Rhinolophus ferrumequinum: one gene and its partners. The protein of the gene in region 3 interacts with the protein of the main gene of each other region in a pairwise test. Links are inferred from orthologs where the notes say so. Each region holds a gene or a part of one and is shown on either strand. Other genes may lie near its edges.

What was found. The genes of interacting proteins can lie anywhere in the genome.
Region 1: the proteins of UBE2L6 (region 3) and RNF144B interact in binary tests that used the Homo sapiens proteins (3 or more experiments, as listed by UniProt). The link is inferred for Rhinolophus ferrumequinum from reciprocal best matches to the Homo sapiens genes UBE2L6 and RNF144B.
Region 2: the proteins of UBE2L6 (region 3) and ARIH2 interact in binary tests that used the Homo sapiens proteins (3 or more experiments, as listed by UniProt). The link is inferred for Rhinolophus ferrumequinum from reciprocal best matches to the Homo sapiens genes UBE2L6 and ARIH2.

What each region holds. Positions count from the first base shown.
Region 1 is NC_046292.1:76,829,460-76,836,931, reverse strand, and holds the start of RNF144B (E3 ubiquitin-protein ligase RNF144B), read left to right. Parts: upstream 1-4,454; 5' UTR 4,455-4,604; intron 4,605-7,472.
Region 2 is NC_046300.1:7,302,131-7,309,331, reverse strand, and holds the start of ARIH2 (E3 ubiquitin-protein ligase ARIH2), read left to right. Parts: upstream 1-4,183; 5' UTR 4,184-5,870; intron 5,871-5,990; exon of another isoform or gene 5,991-6,226; intron 6,227-7,201.
Region 3 is NC_046294.1:11,574,536-11,581,390, reverse strand, and holds the start of UBE2L6 (ubiquitin/ISG15-conjugating enzyme E2 L6), read right to left. Parts: upstream 3,019-6,855; 5' UTR 2,916-3,018; coding exon 2,889-2,915; intron 1-2,888. UniProt on the Homo sapiens protein: Catalyzes the covalent attachment of ubiquitin or ISG15 to other proteins. Functions in the E6/E6-AP-induced ubiquitination of p53/TP53. Promotes ubiquitination and subsequent proteasomal degradation of FLT3.

The sequences.
Region 1 (7,472 bases), on a different chromosome or scaffold from region 3:
TCAGAGATCCACCCAGGCCCTTGCTTCTTTCCTTACACATGATTTCTTTGAATGATCTCATCCACACCCATGGGATCAGTGACCTCCAGATTAATAAAGTCCAAATCAATGTATTTAGCAACTTACTTTCTCCTTGAGTATCATACTCTTATCAACTGCCTATTAGATTTCTTCACTCAATAATCACATCAATATCTGCAATTCAACATATTGAAAACTAAACCCATTCTCTCGAAAATCTCTCCTCTTTTTACTCCTTCATTTAATGGCTTTGTTGTCCACTTTGTTGCTCAAGTTTGAATATTTAAAGTCATCTCTGGCTTCTCTTTCTTCGCAACTCCCCACATCCAATCCCCTGGATTCCAAGCCTGTCTCTAAATGTCTCTCATCACATCTTTTCTTTCAGGCCACATCACCTCGCTCTATAACTGTTATAAAAGATTCATTACTGGTCTCTCCCTGAAGCCTTATCCTTACTGAAAAATTAGTTCACCAAACAAGGTAAAATTTTGCAAGTCTTACAGACTCGCTGGTGTGTTTGTGTGGTCAACACAGATTAGTCTTTTAAAACTCAAAACATCGTCTTCTCCATGAAGCATTCCTCGTATCTCTGAAGTTGAGACTCCTTCCCCTCCCCTGTGCACTGTGTTCCCTTAATACTTTGTTCATATCTTTATTACCGTACTTAGGCAGCAATTATATTGTAATTACTTATTTACATGTTTACTTTTATAGTAAACATCTGTTAAGTTGTCTGCCTAGAGTACTCTTTCTGAAGAGCTGCCTTCCTCCCAACCTCCTCACATACCCTTCCATCCTCCTCCCCAATCCTATGCTAGCCACCATCCATATAGTTACATGACGAACTCTCGTAGGCATGTTTTTACTTCATGACCCTGACACCCTGTTCTCCTTGACTGGGCAGCTGACCCAAGTAAGGCCACTTAGTCCCCTCCCTGGGAAACTGGAATTTAGATAGATTGAAGATGAAAGTGAATTAGGATAAGGGAAGAACAGAAATTCATGATTGTATTTAATTCCCAGTTCCAGATTGTTGAGGAAGCCTGTCTGCGTCCATGCCTCTGGCTTCCAGGTGACAGTTCTGTTACCTTTTAAGCAATTCCCTTCCCCCCTCCTTAAGTTATCTTGACTGCATTTCTGTTACTTGCAACCATAGAGTTCCTAAGTCCACTGACTGAATTCAAGTGTAAGGACCTTGCCTTGGTCATCTTTGTATATCCAGCACTTCCCATAGTAACATGGTAGACAGTATGACATAGATATAAAATGGGTAGTAGATACAAAAATATTTGTGAAATGAATGAGGAAAGAAAGGCAGAAAGAAAGAAAGACAGAAAGAAAGAAAAAGAGAGAGAGAGAGAAAGAAAAAGAGAAAGAAAAGTGAACAGTTTTAAAATAAAAAGAGAAGAGAAATAGAAATGAAAAAATACGAAGGAAAATTGAGGCGAATAGAATTGAAATGAGAGAGAGAGAAAGCCACAAATAACAACAACAAAAGAATCATGAAGAGCATGATCTAGGGGTAAAATGCCAGGCTGTCCTGCTCTAGCTCTGCTCTCCTAAGTTGAGCCAGCCCTTCCCCCTTGCTTTCACCTCTGCCCATCTGTCTCAGTCAGAAGGGAGGATCCAGCAGGGGAGCCCTGTCACCTCAGAGCACCCTTGCCCTGGCACTCATGCTTTCCATGAGATCTTCTGTTTACAGCCCACCATGGTTACAGCGAAATAATTCAGCTCCCAGTGGCAGCCATAGATGTCTAGAACTTAGTGAAGCTAGAGAGCGTGGCCTAGTAACTAGAAGGAGCACGAACTTTGAACCCACTTTTGAACAGATGGGTTCAAATTGAGGAAGGTCAGAAAATGATTAGATAGGCGGAGTGAAAGATGGTAGGAATAAAATAACTTTCCAAAGGAGAAGAAAGCTGGGGTAGGAGCATGCTGGTGTGCTGTTACACAGTAGGAAATTTAGAATATAAAAGTGATTTCTCTGTGTCAAATTTTTCTTTAATTTATTCCACTACTGTTATAAATCAACATTCTTTTTTGCCCTTGAACTGTATGAGATAGTTACTATATAAAAAAAAAAAATACTTCATTAAAAAAACCCAAACAAACCATTTTCTCTCTATCTCTAATTTGTACTTCTATTGTTTCTCAGTTGTTCACCACAATTGACTCTCCTCCCTCCACACCTCTCTTCAGGAAAAGTGTGTCTCTCTAGGGACTTGTCATGGGACTGAACTTAGATTCCACAAACAGGCGCATCTGTACGCTAGTATTCAGTGATCATCTGCCCCTCCCAGAGCTCTTCTCCCTGATTCCCTCTCATTCCTAACCCCATCGTCATTTGAGAAAGACAACCTCTGCAGCCAGTAGTCTTTCTCAAGCAAAAATCTGATCGAGCCATTACCTCGCCTACAACATTTCAATGCTACCCCGTTGTCTATGGGATACAGTGCGTTTTGAAAACGTGGCCTAGAAGGCTCTCCATGATCTTGCCTCTGCTTACCTCTGCAGCCTTGTTTCCTATTCTTCCTCGCAGCCACTCACACTGCCACCCATAAGAAGAAATCCAGCCATAAAGAACTTCTTTAAATTTTTTGAATTGCCCTGTTCTTTCTTACCTTTGGCTTTCCATGCTTTACCCCTACTGGAAAACTCTTTCTCCTCCTAGTCTCCTTTCCCTGGTCAAATGACTCTCACTCTTCATGTCTCAGCATAAAAGTCACTTCCTCTGGGCTTCATGTATACTGCTTTCTGTGTGTGCCGTCCTCCATCAGAGAATCTACTTTTAACAGCCTGTGTACTTGTCTGTCCCCCTATTCAGTTTGGTGAAGTTGGGGAAGTTGCCTTTCTTGTTAACTTTTTTATCCCTAGCACCCAGCAGTGTCTTGAACTAGCAAGCATTCAATAAGTATTGGCGGAAGGAATAAGAAATCTTTGTGCTAACCTTGCACTACCCCTCTTCCTATATCACCCAAGCTGGTCCTTTCAGTTGCAATAACTTGTTTGATGAGTTCATCATCTGATAACCACCTCCTGCCCAATATAGAAGCCTGACAATTCTAGTATGTATCCAATTTTTTCCAGTCCTCAGATTAGAAAATTATCTGATCAAGGTAATGGGTTAATGGATTAATATGGAGTCTCTCATAGGTATTTTGCATTATCAGGGCTCTGTAATAAACTGGTTGCTTCTCATTAGGGTTTCCAGGCGAGAATTCCCTCCCGTTCGCAGGAATTTTTTTCGCTTTCCCCGTTCCCGAATCCCGAGAAAAATTGGTCGGGAAATCAGGAAAATCGGCTCCTTGAACCCAAGTGGTTGGTAGTATTGGCCATCACTTTGTGGAAACGATTCATTGTGGAGAATAGAAAACAGTTTATATCTCGAGATTTGGGAAAGGGAAAGCGGAAAAAAATTCCTGAGAATGGGCGGGAATTCCCCACCTGGAAACCTTACTTCTCATGTTAGTTCCTAGCATCTTTGAAATTATAGCATGACCGATTATGAGTAATGCTATGCCGCCTCTATCCTACTCCACAAATATATAGTATAAGGATAGGTAAATGAATGAATGAATAAATGGACTGCCATTTAACTAATCCCTTCACAGTCCCACTGGGGATTATGTCACTCCAGCTCCTGAGTCTTAGTGATACAACGGTGTTTTCATTGATCCCTTCGAATCGTTTTTACCTTTTATGTTATTCAGTATGCTCTGCTCATTGCTAGTTCCCTCGCTGTTAAAACTCTGAGTACATCCACTTGTTCCTTTTCAGAACTTTGACTTTGGAATTGCGTCTCTTCTAAGTGAGAACAGAGGCTCTGGGCATGCTCAGTAACCAAAGCCAGGTGTAATTAACTGCTCTGGCCCAGACTGGGGAGCCCTGACAGGTGGCAGGCATTGACAGTGATGGCAAAATAGACTTGCCAAGACTTGTACAGCTGAACATATTTTCTCCGAGGCCAATCTAACATTCTGGCAACCTAAGTTTAAATAGTGGGGACGTCAGGTTTTTACAAACAATAAAACGGAAGGAGTTATTTTGGAAAAATTAAAATGACTGGCAGGAGATTCTCAGAGCACAATCTACGTGTTAAGTGATGTGGTTAAGACAGATGAGGACAGAGACGGTGTGTGTGTGTGAATGGAAGCCGTGCCTGTCTTGAACCTCACTGGGCAGATCAAAGATATTTTAAAGGATTTTCTGAGATCGCCCAGAATTTCAAGGATTCCAGTCGCTGCCTCCTTGCTAAGAGAGCGCGTTTCTGGGGGAGGTGTGTGCGTGCACGCGCCGGGGGAGGGCAGGCTCGGAGAGGGGCCACCGCTCTCCGGAATAAACAGCAGGGGGAGAAGGGGAGCGCGGCAAAACGCTGCCGGAGGGGAGAGGAGGCAGGCTGCAGGGGGAGGGCGGGAGAAGCGGGCCGAGACGCGCTCAGGGGGTTGGAAGCAATTCACCCGAATGTCTCGGAGACCCGGGACGGCTGTCGGGCAGAGCTGCCAGCGGACACCCAGCGGCACGCGCCCTCGCTGGGACCCTGCGCTCCCGGGTCCCCCGCTCCGCACTCCGACCTCGCGCGCAAGGTAAGGAGGGGTGCGGCGTGCCGCCCTCCCTGGAGCGCGGCCAGGCTAGCGTACCAGGTGCCGTTCGGCCTCCTCAGGTTGTCACCTCCTTCTTCCTCCCTCGCCCCCTCCCGGGTTCTCCTCGGCACCCGGAAGCCCTGGGCGATCGGTCGGCAGGGACTCGGACCCTCGGTCATCCCGGCTTCTACTTCGCGGTGCGGGGGACCCGTCTCCTTCCCAACCTCACTCCCCCCACCCCGCCCCGGGCAGCTCCCCGACACCGACGCCCTAGGGGAGCATCTCACCAGGTGCGTGCGGCGCAAACACCCGCGGTTCCCCTCCAGTATGCCACGATTTCCAGGCTGAAATATCACAGATCCTCTCCTTCCAAAATATACCTGCCCACCCCCCGGCCTTCTGTAATCATTCTAACTTTAGGGGGATATTCGCCCTTGGTCAAGGTAGGTATATCGTCTTATCTTTTGTATCTGCACCAAACAATAGGTTGAGGGTCTTCGGGGTTTAATTTTCCTGAAAATCAAATACTGTGATAAGTTTAGAAGGTTTTCTGGGTGACTGCGGTGCTAGAACTTTGTAACAGCCTAAAGCAATAAGGTCCTAGTCCGGAGCTGAGATCCTGATTCAGAAATCTGTGTATATATTTAAAAAGCACTCCAGGTGATTGCGATACGTTCTCCCCGCATCAGCACTTGGAAGTATCTGTAAGGCCCGCGTAGGAGGGAGAGGAGGTATTTGGAAGTCTCATCTGGAAGATGGGTGTGTCAGGAGAGAATAAAAACAGAGTTATAAGCTGGTTCCCTTTTAGTTGATAAATTTGGTGGGATACCATTGGTTCAGAGATGGCAATTTTGGAAAGGGAGAGTCATTGGAAACAGCTAGAGGGTGGAGAGAGGAAAATACAGTAGTTCTAAGAACCCTTGTTAAAGAGTTCGATTTTAAACATCAATTTTTAAAATGTAAGAATTCCTTGACAAGTACTTTGGCGATGAGAAAGGGCTGAGGCCTACACTCATGGCAATCAGAAAATCTTGCTTCACTGTATTTGCACCGACTGACTTTCTGTCAATGACCACTAGCATTTTTGCAGGCTGGTTACTTTAAATCTAGAGACAGAAATGGACTATTATCTCTAGGAACCAGAAGGAGGAATTATCATTTAAATTTAGATCCTGTTTACATTCCTAATTATTTGAACCAAGCTCTTTTACCCTGAATTGGTTAAGAGTGTCTAAATTATATTGTATTTGAATTTACACATATAACTGAATATTTCTCCGTCTTACACTTTGTGACAGATGTACATCTGCTGCTTTTCATATATATCTGTATATGTACCTGAACCATTTTAAGTACCTAACAAACTCTCAGAGTATAACTGCCAGGCAAAATAAAGATTTCTATTTGTCTTTTGGAAAATTGAGGTGGAGGACTAACTTTTTAAAATACCATGAAGTAGGTATACTATTAAATCATACAACTTTCAACAAAATGAGATGCTTGTTATGAAATAGGGATGGTATTTGGTACCTGCTTTCAAGGATATTTAGGACAAGCAAGAGACCGTCTGTAAAGCATTTTGAACTTTAAGAGAAGAGTCATTGTCTAGGTATTGAGCCAGTGTGATTGTTTTCCTGGCAAACTTTTTCTTCTTTCTAAAATTAACTTTCCCTTAGGAAAAGATAGTGCAGAGGCACACGATTCAGCAGCTAACTAGGTCCAGAAAATACTGTTTGAATTTTAAAAGTGACCTTAATTCATCCCTACAGATCTGGTGTTTGCAGCCTATGTCACAAAATATGCAGAAATATTCCTTGTTTGCTGACCTTTTCAAAGCATTGGCTTAATGAGGGGAGTTATGGACAGGGTACAAATTATGTTCTGAATTTTGTTGGCTTAGGCAAAATTATTATCTTTTTTTTCCTAAGGTTTTTTGTGTATATGTGTGTACACTGGGTCCGGGACTTACATAATTATGTATATATATGTAACACATGTTTTTAATAGGAGCAAAACCCACGATATTTTTCTTTGTGGCAGAACACTGTAAGCATTAGGTTTTGATTACTTTTTCATGGAAATTTTAATATGACAGAACTAAAAACTTCAAGGAAATAATTCCATAAAGATCTATTTGGAACTGAAGGCCTTTTTAATAAAACATGTTTGAAGCCCTTAGTCTGTGTGCTAAGCATACTTATAGCAGTCCTTGGTGAACCAGTAAAGGTGGTAGATCCAATTCTGGCAGCTTCAGACAGTGGATGATTAGACCCTGCCATTCTTCTCCAGACCTTTAATTTGGTCTGTAACTTGATGCTTCACTGACCCCACACTCTCCCTGCCACTCTAGCTCACAGAGGAATTGCTGGCACTCTGGACTGAATTTTTTCCCTCCCATCAATTAGAACAAGTTTGCGTTGGTTGCAGAATGCAGTTACATTTTTAGCTCAGTATTCTAGGAAATACCTTGGGCCACGAAGAGAGTAGTCTTAGTGTAGCCTAGATCACAAATTGCCTTATTTAATTGTGCTGTTAATTTCCCAGTGATTCAACTATGCAGAAATAATAGTCCTAGAGTACTAAAATTGGAAAGCACTTTAGAAGTCATCTAGATTCTGATCCTTTTTACCGGTGGATACTGGAGCACTTATAGCCATAATCCACACTTTGAGAATATCCATTAAATTATATATTCTTTCCAGTTCTTGTAGTAATGAAGACTTTACTCATTTTAAATGAATATATGTATATGAGTTCAATAATGTAGGAATGGCAGCGAAGTATGTCACACATCTCAGCCAGATTTCTAATGAAACTCAGTGTGATGCTAAAAGGGATGTGGGTCACTTACAAAGGTGCCGAACTATCCTA
Region 2 (7,201 bases), on a different chromosome or scaffold from region 3:
GGAATTGAGTCCTGACACAAGTCTTTAAAACTCTGTGACTGAGTTTGAGAAGCACCCATTGTTAAGAATTTCCAAGATAGAAGTGTTCGAGTTTGGCAAAGAGATAGCCCACAAGTTGTAAAGTAAGGTTGCATAATACCTGAAACACAGGTATAAGATGATTGTTGTTAAACTGTTTATCTGGGTCCCTGTCCTCAAAGGGCTTCAGTCTGGCTGGGGAGAAGAATCTCAGACATTGGAACAAGAAGGAGCTGTTAGGAGGGAGCTCAGGTGCAAAGCAGGTTGTCAGTTCTGGTTGAAGCCTGACATTTCCTCCTGACTTCCTACCCCAGTGAATACTGTTGTCTTTGTTTCCCACAGATTATGGGGAATTTTCACCATGAGAGGGCAGTACTGTGTTAGTGTCCAGGGCACACATTTACTGAGCACTTCTGATTTGTAAAACTACTCATCGCTAGATTAACCTCAGGAGTTTTATTGGACAGAAGGCCCAAGAGTCACAATTTGGTAATGGGACCTTGTTTCTTTTATTTATATTTTGTAACACTCTGGCTGCAGAGGAGGAGCTAATTTAGAGTCAGTTTGCACTCAGAGCAATTTCAGGAAGAGATGGTATTTGATATAGATAGAACAGCCCTCCTGGTAAAAATCCAGTAAACCTACCCACCTCCATGACAGACCTCAATGTGGACTCAACTCAAGCCCACCAGTAAAACGTAATCAATAATCCACTATACAAATGGTCTTCCTGCTTCCTGATGTGGTTAGCCTTACACACCGCTAGAAAACTTACCTGAAATTTAATCTATGTCATTCCCTGGCCAAAAAAGCTCCTCAGTTCTTTATTGCATCAGAATAAACTACAAATAGCTCAGGGGCAATCGGAGCTTTTCATAGTTTCATGCTAGTTTACTTCTTCAACTTTGTTTTCCCCTAGACTATATCTTCATCTCTGAGCAAACTGAGCTTCTCCTGATTTACCATACAGATCTGCTACTTAACTGCCCCTTTTCACATATTTTCCTCTTTAGCACAGGTGTCTTTTCTCTCTCCACTCTGTAACATGTTGATACAAGAGGTGTATCTGAGTTGCTACCATATGCTAGACATCGTCCAACCAGTGGTTCTTAGCCATTTGTGGGGAGGAAAATCCCTGGCACCCTCTCCCCAGAAAAATGTACATATGCACATGTACCTCCAGGTTTGCTTTCAATTTCATGGGAACTTGAAGCTGTCCTTGGACTCCAGATGAGAAATCTTGTTCCTAGACCCTGGGAATCAAACATGAAAAAGGGGCTAATTTTCCCAATGTCTATCCTTCCTTTCTTCTCTTTCCTTCTTTCTTAGCTCAAATTCCACGTCTGGGCTGAAATCTCTCCAATTTCTGTGCCTCTCATGGGCTCCAATCCTGCCTCTCTAGCTGCCCAAAGAGATCTTGAACTCAGTACACCTGAAAGTAAGTGATATCCAGGAAAAAGGAACCAGATAACAGATCCATATATACACGGGAACTTAGATCATCATAAAGGCGCTTTTCTAAATAGTGGATAAAGAATGATCTATTCAATAAACGGTGTTGGGACAACTGACTCTCTACACATCCTACCAAACACAAATTCTGGATGGATTTAAGAGCTCAACCTAAAAAACAACAATATAAAATATAAGCATTTTGTACATGTCCTTCCAGGACCCTTTCTATGCATCTACATATGCATTTATATCTAATAGGTACACACACAAACACACATTTACACAAAACCTTTTTCATTAAAAAAAAGCTATTGTAAATATAATTCCGCTTTTTTACTCAGTGAAAGGTGCTATTATCCCCATTTCACAAATGAGAAATCTAAGTCATAGAGAGGTAAGTTTCCTTGCGCAAGGTCACTCTGCTAGGAAGTTGCCAAACTGGGATTCTCACCCTGGCTATCTGGCTCCAGACCCTACCTTTTGTAGGCCTCTAAGGCCAAAGCCTATGAGAGAGAGCTTTGGAGGGTTTTGAACAAGGAAATGACATGTTTTATGCTTTAAAAAGATCTCTTTAAACAACGGAGAGAACAGATTTAGTAGAGCAAGGGTGGGTAGATGCACGGAAACTACCTTAGTTAAGCGACCTGCTCACATCCAGGGACATATTGTGATGGCTTGCTCTGGAGCACCAGGTGGTGGGAAGTGCCTAATCAGGACATATTGTGGAGGTATGGCACGTAGGAATTGCTTATGGATTGAATGTGGAATTTGAAAGGGAAAGAAGAGTCATGGGAGACTGGTGAATTTTTGGTCTGAGTAAATAGTGAGAGATAATGACATCACTGAGCTCAGAAACACTGGGCGGGGGGTGCGGGGAAATGCCAAGTTTGGAGATAAAATTGAGTTTTGTTTGGGACATGTTAAATCTGAGTGCTAACATGACATCCCAGTAGGGGTGTTGAATGGACAGTTGAATGTATTGAGTGTGGAGTTCAGGGGATTAGGTAGGCCTAGAAATAAAAGCCTAGAAGTCATCAGTGTATTGGAGGTACATACTTAATTAGGCAAAGAGCTTGGATAAGGTCATTAGAGAGTGAGGGTAGATGGAGCAGAAGCTGAAGATGGAGCCCACCGACTCTCCTGTGCAGTACTCCTCACAGCAATTTCATACTTACTTAAATATTCCTCTAATTTCTGAATCCGCTACTAGGCCAAAGCTCTTTGACTGCAGGGACCATGGTCTCCTGCCCTCTCCATTAAATCTAACAACATGGTACCTGGCCTATAGCTGGGCTCAAAGAATCAAAGGCATTTTTCAAAGGTGATTTGGCTGTATCTATCACAATGTAAACTGAGCATAGAAGTTTACTCACTAATTCCATTTCATTTTCCAAAAATTCCGAACCATTTTCACATCTATGCAAACAGTAGTACATCCAAGGGTGTTCATTGCAGCACCAGTTGTCATTTCACCTGAGTGAAAAATCAGAAACAGATGACCTGCAAAAGGAGCGTGGTAAGATGACAGTATAATCACACTAGGAAATATTGAAGATGTGGTAGGCTCAGGAGCCAGACGGCCAGGGTTAGAAGCTTAGCTTGGCCACTTCCTAACTTTAGAGCAATTACCACACCTTCCTGTGTCTTAGTTTGCTAATTTGTAAATTGGGAATAATAATAGGACCTTCTACTAAATGAAGAAAGCAGGATGATATTTATAACAGCCTGTTAAATTTTTTAGAACTTTGTATAAATATATGTGTATATGTGTATAAATACAGATATGTATGTAGATGCACAGAAAAGGGTCCTGGAAAGATGTGCACCAAACTCTGGAAAATGGCAGCAATCCTGGATAGGGTAGAGAGTTGGAGTGAGTTAATGGGAATATTCACATGTTGCTATCAACACTGTTGTATAAATTTTTCACAACTTTAATGTATCAATATATTATCGTGTAATTAAAATCAATAAAGGCAAAGATGAAAGACATATGTATGATATATATGTAACATATGCTACGTGACAGATTACATTTTCCAAAGATGGCCACACCAACATGTATCCCATTCCATATGTTCTTCTTACAGTGTGATATCGTGTTGGTATTCCTCCATCAGGGGTAGGGTTTCATTTCCTCTCCTTGAACCTGAGAGGACCTTTGCTTGGACCAATAAGATGTGGTAGAAATAATGCTGTGTGACTTCAAAGGCTAAGTCATAAAAGGAGATATGGCTTCCACTTGGTTCTAAGGCACTTATCCTTGGAACCCAGCCACCATATTTCCAGAAAAACAAGGTCACATGGAGAGGTTGTGTATACGTGTTCTGACTGACAGTCCCAGCAAGGCCACTACCAGATGCACGAGTAAATAACTATTCCTGTAATTTTAGCTCTCAGAGTTTGAATCTTCTAGCTGAGGCCCCAGACACTGAGGAGCTGAAATAAACCATTCCCCCAGATTCCTGTAAACTGTCCAGATTCCTGTCCCACAGAAACCATGAGAGTTTAGATATATTTTACACACATATATATTTTGAAAATGGAATAGCACATTGTTTCACATCCTAGTCTTATCACTGAAGAATGTATCATAAGTACCTTTCCTTGTCAAGAGGGGCCTTTGTATAGCATGATTGTTGATGGCTTTCTTTATTGTATATTTTACCATAATTTAACAAACCCTTACTTTTGGACGCTTGGGATGCTGCAAACTTTTTCCTGTTAGAATCATCATTCCAAAGCACATAAATGCGCACAAATTTTTATGTGTATCCTTAAATGTTTTGGCTTAATTTTTAAATTTACTTCCTGGGGAGAGATTGCCACTAGTTAAAAATATTATCATCAACCCAATAAATGTTTATTTAATGGAGTAATACTGAAAACAAGGTTGGATCTGTGCCCTTAAGAAACTCACCTTCACCAGGGGAAAGACACATGAACAAATAAAGAGGATTCCAATATATTGTACATGCACCAGTATGCTTGTGACCTCATTCTCTATTTAGCAAGTGCAATAATGCTACAGAAAGACTGATTGTTCCCCTTATTCACTGGAATTTATTACCAGCAACCCAAAGTGAGAGCTTCTAATTGACATTTCATTTGCAGAAAATATAATTTGGACCCTTTGCTAGTATAATTTAAAGGGATATGTTTTCTCAAAACAAATGTATTAAGGTACACTGGATGATAGACTTTTATGTTGCTAAATACCAAATTCATAATCCTACAATATATTACTCATTGCTATTAATTTTCACTCCAAATTAATTTGGGGCTTTCCAGTATGTGTTTGACTGCATCTGATCTTGGTCCATGTTCTGTGTTAAAACTGGAAGCTGAAACCCGTATGTAAGAAATACATGAGTGCATACAAGAAGCAAGCACTAAATTAGAGAGCCCGTTACACATCATTTGTCTCGAATATCAGTACATACACGACTGGTGTACGGGTGGAAATCGTTTGGATTATCTACGGACTTGCACATCCCAATACAATGCCTAACATCACCAGCTTCACACTGGCGTTTGCACTCGTGCAGCAGCAACCTGAGTGAGCCTCCGTGGCTCGCTCCATCCATAACACTTGACAACAGGTCCTAGTAGGTACTAGAAGTCATAACTGGCACTTCTTATACTGTTTGAAGAAACTGGGCAGCAAGGCAATTAAGAGTCAGCCTTGTACAGTCACTGGAAAGCCGAAGAACTGGGCGGCGAATCCAGTTGAGGAAACGGGAGTGAAAACCCGGCGAGGTCCTGCGGCTCGGGGGCCAACAGGCCACAACCTGAGCGTAGGCGGAATTCCGGCCCGGCGCGCTGACCCGAAGGCCCTGTTCTCCTTCGTCCAGCGAGCCGAAGGGAAACAACAGTCCTTTACCAACTCCACCGACGTCAGGATGTCTTCCCGGTACCCGACACTCGAGTTTACAAACAGTGAAGTAAGGAGTCCATCAGAAAAACGCGGGTTAAAAATATCCTGGCGGGCAGCGCTGGGAGGCGAAAGCCAGAAGCGATGCCGTGACTGCGCTCCAGTAAGCCGAGCCCTCTCGTCTGCTGCCTCTCGCAGCCCTCCGCGCCGGCCGTGCCCTGGTCAGACCCCGGGATCCAGCGCCGGGATACCACAGAGCGCCAGCAGAGGGGTACTATTACCCAGCGCACGCCTCGACCCCTGCGACCGCGGGTCGACCCCGGCCCGGAAGTGACGCAACCACGCCGAGCACTTCCGGAGCGGCGGAGACGGCTCCGCTGGAGGAAGCGACGCGGGCCTTGACCGGCGTCGGCTTGCCGCGTCCGCCGCCGCCGCCGCCGCCGCGCTTGTGTCCGATCCCTCTGGCCCCGCCCAACCCGGTCTGGCCCGTCCGGGCTCAGCGGCCGCGGGGTCGCGCCTTCCGGTAAGTGTGAAGCGCGAATCGTGGCCTTGTTTACCCGGCGGGTCGGGGGAGGGGGTGGGCTTTCCGTGCGCCTCCCTAGCCCGACTGGGGCTCCGCCTTCGTCGCCGCCTGCGAGGCCCCGGCGTCCGCGGTCGCCGGTACAGTCTCAGCGCCCCCCGCCGTCCGCGGACGGACGGCTGAAAGCTACGGCCGGGGCGGCCGAGCGCCTGGCGTCTCCGTTATTCCTTCTTCCGCCGCCTTCTCAGCTCGCGGAGAGGTCGGAGGCCGTCGCCTCTGACCGACTGGCGCCGGCCTATCTGGGCCCTCCCCACCGGGCGCGCCGGGGAAACGCGCCACCTCCGGGGCTCCCCGCTCAGGTCATTATGGAGAGCTCTCCCAGGGCCGCCCGCGCGATTAGTTAACGCCCGCTTCTGAAGGGTCCCCCAGCGCGTGAGTTCCGTGTCCTCGCGGATGTCCCGGCGCCTCGGCAGGGACCAGTGGCCCAGGAGCTGCGCCGCGGTGGTAGCCGCCGGAGAGGCAGCCGCCTTCACGGATGACTTCACCTCCGTACGGGTTGTTGCTCTGTCCCGTAGAACTTTGTCACAGTGGACATATTCTATGACTTTGCCACACGTAACCATTGTGGCTAGTGTGACTGAAAAACCAAACTTTAAATTGTATTTAAGTTTTAACTTAACCACTTGTAGCTAGTGGCTACCCTGTTTGACAGTGCGGGCATTAGGGTAGGGTGTTGAAACCAAGTTGCTGGTTCATATTTTTGTACCAAGTAGTTCTCTTTGGAAATGTCGGCTTAGTAAAGGACCATTCGGTGCTAAATACTATATATGAAGTAAACACCGTCAGATTCACACAAAAAAGTCCGTTTTATTCTTGTCAACTTGAAAACTGAGTCGTCTTCAGCTTAGCTCCCTTAGTCCAGGGTGGGTGTCAGGTCTTCTGAACACATAACTTTGTGGGGAAAAGTAATTTCTTTTACTCCCTTTCGGACTGGGATGTAGGGATAATATTTAACATCTAAGAAATTAAAAGCATTGTCATCATTTCTGCTAATAAGGCAATAACATACTGTCCCCTTTGAGCTATGTCAGCGCTAGGAATATTTAACTTTGGCAAGATTGAAAATTAAGTGTTTATTTAAATCTGGACCTAGAATACCCAGTAAGCACGAATGGCCTTCTCTTTTTTCAGGTTCCCCTTTAGGAGAGGAGCCTTGATTCTTGAATATTTAGTTGGTGAGGAGTCTGGGCAGCCTCTAAACCCAAATCCTGGGGAGAAGTCCAAAGAAAGTGAAAACATGCTCTTTTGCTGTGATTCTGGAGGTAGCTTTGTGG
Region 3 (6,855 bases):
AAAGGAGAAGGCAACAAGAAGGCTTCGTGCAGGGTGACAATGAGCTGGGCCACGCGGAATAAAATAAAGCCCACCATGCAGAAATGGGGAGAGGAACCAAGACAAAGGGCCCGGTCAGAGTAAATGTGCATAAGTGTGTACTATATAGGCAAGGGTAATAGTTATTACAGGAAAAGGGTCCCATGGTCAAGTACATTGGGAAACATTAAGCTAAACAGATTTCTTTACTGTAGGACTTCCCAAAGTCTTTATTTAATATGCTATTGTGTATCATGAATCTCCAAGATGTGAGCCCACAGCATGCGGTACTTCCCAAACTTATTTGACTAAGGAGCCCTTCCAGAGTCCATCCTGTGGAACGACAGGCCTCTTTTTATTGGGGGGGAGGGCAATTACAAGATTCAAGATTAAAGGACATTCAAGGGCAGGTCTTATCCTCTGAAACACCAAATAATTGTAAACCAGTGGTTCTCTACTGGGGGCAATTTTACCCCCACAGGGGACACTTGGCACTATCTAGAACCATTTTGGTTGTCACAAATGAGAAAGTGCTACTAGCATCTAGTGGGTAGAGGCCAGGGATACTCATAAACATCCTACAACAATTTATCTGGCCCAAATGTCAATGGTGATGAGGTTGAGGAACACTGGTATAAATAAAAGGCAAAGACGAAGCTTCCCACAGCCCTTCCATGGTTGGGGAGGGGTCCTTTAACACTGTGGACCACCTAAACTTTCTCTACGGCCCCATATATAAACACACCCTGTTCTCCATTGCTAGCTTCTAGCACATACTCCATCTCTGTTCATACCAACAAACTGCTTCTTGCGTTTTCTGCCCAGAGTATATTCTATGATCCTCATTTATCTTTTTTTTTTCCCAATTACAGGTGACATTCAATAGTATGTTAGTTTCGGGGCGGCCGAGTTGGCTCAGTTGGTTACAGCACGAGCTCTGAACAACAGGGTTGCCGGTTCAATTCCCACATAGGCCAGTGAGCTGCGCCCTCCACAACTAGATTGAAGACAATGAGCTGCCGCTGAGCTTCCAGAGGGGCAGCCGGATGGCTCAGTTGGTTAGAGCGTGAGCTCTCAACAAGGTTGCCAGTTCAATTCACATATGGGATGGTGGGCTGTGCCCCCTGCAACTGAGATTGAAAACGGCAACTGGATTTGGAGCTGAGCTGCGCCCTCCACAACTACATTGAAGGACGACGACTTGGAGCTGATGGGCCCTGGAGAAACACACTGTCCCCCAGTATTCCCCAATAAAATTAAAAAAAAAATACTATGTTTAGTTTCAGGTGTACAGCATAGAGGTTAGACATTACCCTCATTTATCTTTACCCCAAACTAGAAGCATCTGCTACTTCAAGTCCTAGTTCCAATATCATCTGCTCTCTTTGGCAAGGCCAAGGTTGAATGAAGAAGCTGTGGGATGAACACTTCCTGATTTTACTGTAACTGGGAACACTTGGACTTTATCAGTTATAGATGTGTTCTTTCCAACTTTTCCCCAAGCTAAGGATGTTGAAACCCCAGTGAGCACACACAGTTCTTTCCTGAGGCCTGTGAGGAAATCACCTGACTCAGAGGAACAGAAAATGAAAGTAGAGAGGCCACTAACCTGGGCTCAAATCCCAGCTCCCTCACTCCCTACTGGCTGACCATGACATCTAAGTCATTCTCTCTGAGCCTCAACTTCCTCATCCGTAAAATGGGGGTATATGACTTATGTCACAGGGTTGCTGTGAGAGTAAGATGAAATAAGTAATGTAAATGGCTTGTCACTTAATTGTGCCAGTGGGATAAATACCAAATACTGGCTCCTAGCTCTTTCCAGTTTGGCTGGCAAGATTCTCTGCCCCGTTTTGCTGCCAGCCTCCAGTTCTGGGTTGCGCCTGCGCTGGGTGCCCCAGTATGAGACCATTTTCTTCTCAGAGGCTGAGGACAGCAGGCACTCCCTTTTACCCCCCTCACTCTGTCCCCTGCACCCTGCACGTTGGAGGGGCACTTTTCAGGGACTCAAAGTCCGGGGGATATCTGACCCACTTCACTAAGATTGCTCTTCCTTCCCCATCTATCTCCATCTGCCCGGTATACCCCAGCCCTGCAAACACCCTGGGTTTTTCCACCTCCTGGGGGAAATCCTCCCCTCCCTATCCTTCCAAACCTTCCCTTCAAATTGTTTCCCTATTTGGAAAGAAAGCTCAGCGAGGGCAGGATTTTTGCTAATCTCTGCCTAGAATAGGAGCCTGCACACAGTAGGCATTCAACACTTGTAGAATGAGTGAATGCACACACCTACTCCAGGACACCTTGCTGGTCTGCCTTGGCAGCTTTTCCTCCCTGGAAAACCCCGGGTACCTAGCTCCTGACTCCTACTCAACATCCAGACTTCTCAGGATTCTAGATTCCAAATGTAGGTACCAAATTAAAGAGTGGGTCCTCGGCCATTCCAAGGCAAGGACCTTGTCCTGGTTATCTCTGTTCATAACCCACCCACCTCCGCCCCCCAACCACCCCCAGTAGAGAGCGTGGCTCCTGAATCCCTTGGTCACCTGAGATGCAAGCAATTGTAATCACAAGTTTCTGGCAGGAGAAAAGAAACTGAAACCAGTTTGCGGGAACAGGCTCAATCCCCATCCGCAGCGCAGTTCCGGGAGCCAACAACACCCCCGCCGGACGTGCCCTCGCCCCTCAAAACTCCAGCTCTGGCCCCTCCGGAAGACCCACTCCTCCTCGGGGAGGGGGCGGGGATGACAGGGCTCCGCCAGCCTCGCAACCCGGACAAACAAATGCTCAAGGGGAGTCGGGGAGAGAGAGGAGGGAGGAGGAGGTGGGAAGAGCGAGGGGAGCCGGGAGAAAGGGGTCGTCCACACAGTTACCTTCGCCACCCGCTTGCTCGCCGTCATCTCGGCGCGGAGCGTGGGACCCAGCGAGTCCAGCGAGACTGTCCTCCGGCTTGGTGGCGCCCCGCCCCCGAGACGCCACCTCCGGGGGCCCCGCCCGCGCGCCGCCCACTGGTGCGCACGCCGGGCGGTACGGAGCTGATCCCCGCCTCCTTGACTGACACTGGGAGCCGCCGAGGGCTGGACCCTGCGGGCCCCGGCCCGGTCCGCGGCGCAGTGGGCTCGGGTCCCCGGATCTCGCGCTTTTTGTCGGAGGACCCCGAAGGCGTAGGAGCAGGCGACGTGGCCGGATCCCTGTATCCCACTGGGGGGCGCTGTGCACCAGTATGTGAGCGCTCGGAGGCGCGGGGCTGGGGTCTACCCATCCGGGTTCTGGTTCCAGCGCGGATTCTGGTTCACGCTCCACCGCCGGACGCCGTGCAGGGAGGCCCCATTCTCCCCGCCGCCCCAAACACACAGTCTCCCTAAGTCAATACAGGATGTTGGCTATGCAAACGCAGCTCCCGACTGTTCGGCGGACTCCACCATCAGTCCGCGGCCCAAAGACACACACACACACACACACACACACAGATAGACACACCCGCCAGCGAATTCCCGGAGGCTCCCTCCCCCCCCACACACACACAGACGCCAGCGAATTCCCGGAGCCCCCTCGACGAGTTATTTCCCCTCTCTGGGCCCAATGCCCCATCTCTAAAAATGGGTAGGGACGACGCAAACTATACGCCCTCCAAGCACTCCTCCCCTGGCAGCTTGAGATCCTTTGTGAGGTGCAGCCTTCGGTGGCCCAAATACAAGGACGTTTCTTTCCCCCAGGTGGTTTGCTTGGTGAAGAGCACCGCAAGGAGGCGCTTTTGGACCCATTCGCTCTTGCTTTAGGGTTTGGGTTCTTAGGTTTAATAGTTAGTCAAGTGTCTACTATGTGAGGATTGGAAAAACAGTTGGGGGGGCATTAGCATGCATGTACTATACTGAGTGTCAGGCACTGACTTTAGGGAACAGCACGATGAGAAAGTGGGCTCCTTGTCCTTGAGGATGAATGCATTTTTCATGCAAAGTGGTTAAGCACAGGATATATATGGGGAACCATCTGATGCTGTGGGAGCCTGGAGGAGGGTCACCTGATGCAGCCTCAGGGGGGGGCAAAGGTATCCTGGGAGAGAAAAAATCCAAGTGAATTGCAAAGCATAGTGAGTTAGCTAGAGTAAAAACGTGGGATGAGGGTGTTCCCAGATGAGGGAACAGCGCAAGCAAAGGTGCAATGTATGGAAACTGAAAGCAGTTCCATAATGTGGAACAAAGTCTGTCCAGCACCTTCCTTTCTCGTACAGAAGTCCTGCATCCCCAGAGTAAATTCAAAGTCGTGGATTTAGCTCAGCCTCCCCATCCTGGGATGGATCCTAACCACCCACACAGCTGGAAGGCCCATGTGCATGGCCCTTCATATCCTTACACAGTACAGACCTTTGTGTGTAAGAATGAGTCCCAAGGAGACCTGGACTCTTGTTAGTTCTACATTTGCACCCCAGTGCCACATGGCCTTGGGTGGGCTGTGGAACCTCCCACCTGCTTCCCAGGGCCACTGCCAGGCTCAGTTCACAGAAGTGGAGGAACTTTGAAAATTGTAATTCCCAGATATAAATAATCAGGATTCAGTCCCAGCTCTACTATTATTGGCTGAGTAACTTGGGCAAATTACTTAACCAGTCGGTGCCTCCATCTCCTCATCTGTAAAGTGGAGCTAATAATAGTGAATGTGAGGAGTAATGAATTGATATTTGGACAATAAGTGATAGTCATAATAATGTAATATTTGCCTCTGTATGCCTGTAGCATGTCTGGAAGGATATGAGAGACTGTGATGGTCTTTGGGGAGGGTAACTAGGTGACTGGGTATGGGATGGGGAGGAACACTTTTCACTAAAATCCCATTTCCTTTAAATTTTTTTTTTTTTAGATTTTATTGGGGAAGGGGAACAGGACTTTATTGGGGAACAGTGTGTATATCCAGTTCTTTTTCCAAGTCAAGTTGTCCTTTCAGTCTTAGTTGTAGAGGGCGCAGCTCAGCTCCAGGTCCAGCTGCTGTTGTTAGTTGCAGGGGGCACAGCCCACCATCCCTTGTGGGAGTCGAGGAGTCGAACTGGCAACCTTGTGGTTGAGAGCCCACTGGCCGATGTGGGAATCGAACCAGCAGCCTTCGGCATTAGGAGCACTGGAGCTCCAACTGCCTGAGCCACCGGGCCAGCCCCTCCTTTCAAATTTTTGAAACATGTAAATAAACTACCTCTTCAAAAATCAATAACATTTAAATTTTACAATATTCTCTCTTTAAAACTGAAAGGTTTTTGCATAAAAATTTGTATTCCTGGATTCTCTAAAAACAGGAGACTTGGCAATGACCCCTCACGGCAATGGTTGGCTGGAGCCTAGTCAGGGTTGCTCCTTTAGAGCAGGAATGCAGGTCCCAGTTTACCACGGTCCTCACCACAGTGTTTTTCCTGGCCTGCCCAGCCTCATCTGCTTTTTTAGCTGCCTAACCCTGTAAGGATCCCCGGCTCTGGAGTCTCTTTGCACTTACTAACTTGCTATCTCTCAAACCCTCTCTTTTCCTTTCTTGCCCAGGGTCGGGCTTTTTCATGCCCCATGATGGCTGTGGCCTTTGCAAACAGGGAAGTGTACCTGGCTGGAAGGTGTGACAGTGCTTTGTTCCTGGTCAGGACCCTTCCAGGGACTTCACAGGGAAAAATTGTCATCTTCTACACTTGGATGAGGCAGGACTTTCCTTTTTGACAGCTCTTGTTGTTGCCAGAGGTCACAGAGACCATCTGAAAAAGAGTTGGGAAAAAAATACTTTTCAGACACCATAGACAATATGGCACCTCAGCTGTGATTTATAGACTCCAGTAGATACCGTGGGTGCCAAAAAAATGTATACAAGTGGAGACTTTGGTCAACGTTGCTCAAGCAGTAGTTCGCTGTAATCAGAAGTGCCTGCACGCTGATGGTAACCACTTTGAGCACTTCTTGTAATTGCAGAAGTCAAACGTGACTTGTATTCATTGTTTGTTATGGTATATATTATTACAATTTTAATACAGTTTTCCTTTCCTAAAATGTGTATGCATTTTTTTGGCACCTTCTGTACATTTATGTTTGCATGTTAGAGACTAACCTGGAGGATACTTAAGAACCTGATAAAGTAGTTATCGGTTTGGGAGGGAAAAAATGTTGCCTTACATACAGTACACCTTTTTCAGATTGTCTGCCTTTCATCATCTTTGAGTTATTGTACAACTCCCTAAATTGTAGTAACTTATAGCATGCAAAATAATTCTTATAGACCTGCAAATTCTTTCTGTCCAACAGAAGTTTAATTGACTTTCTTTTCCCCACCCCATGGAAAAACCAGTTTTGTTTTATTTACATGTTTATTTCAATATTCTTGATCTACAAATGTGTCTGTTTTCAGATTCTCTTTAATTCTGACATCTGCCTGGTTCCCTTGTTGATTAATGAGTAGAATGAAGTCTTGAACATGTGTCCATTTTATATCTGTACGAGAGGCATGATTTTGCCTTTTTCTGAAAATTATCTTTAATGAGTTGTAGACTCATCTGGAAGGATGCTTAAGAAACTAATGAGTGGTTTATCCATTCTGTGTGTCCTAGGATGGGGTAGGAAGGAGACCTCCTTTCCACTGTTTTGTACTTTTAAAATTCTCTACCATGTGAATAACTATCCATTCAAAACTATAAATGCATACAATATGTTTTTCAAAGAAAATTAAAAGAGGGAAACAAAAATAGGAAGCATAACCTAGAGATAAATAACATGGAATTCAGGGTCAATCAGACCTGGATTAAAGCTCTGACATTTTCTAAGTGATTTGGGGCAAGTTACTTACCTCTCTAAGCTTTAGTTTACCTATAAAATGGAGATA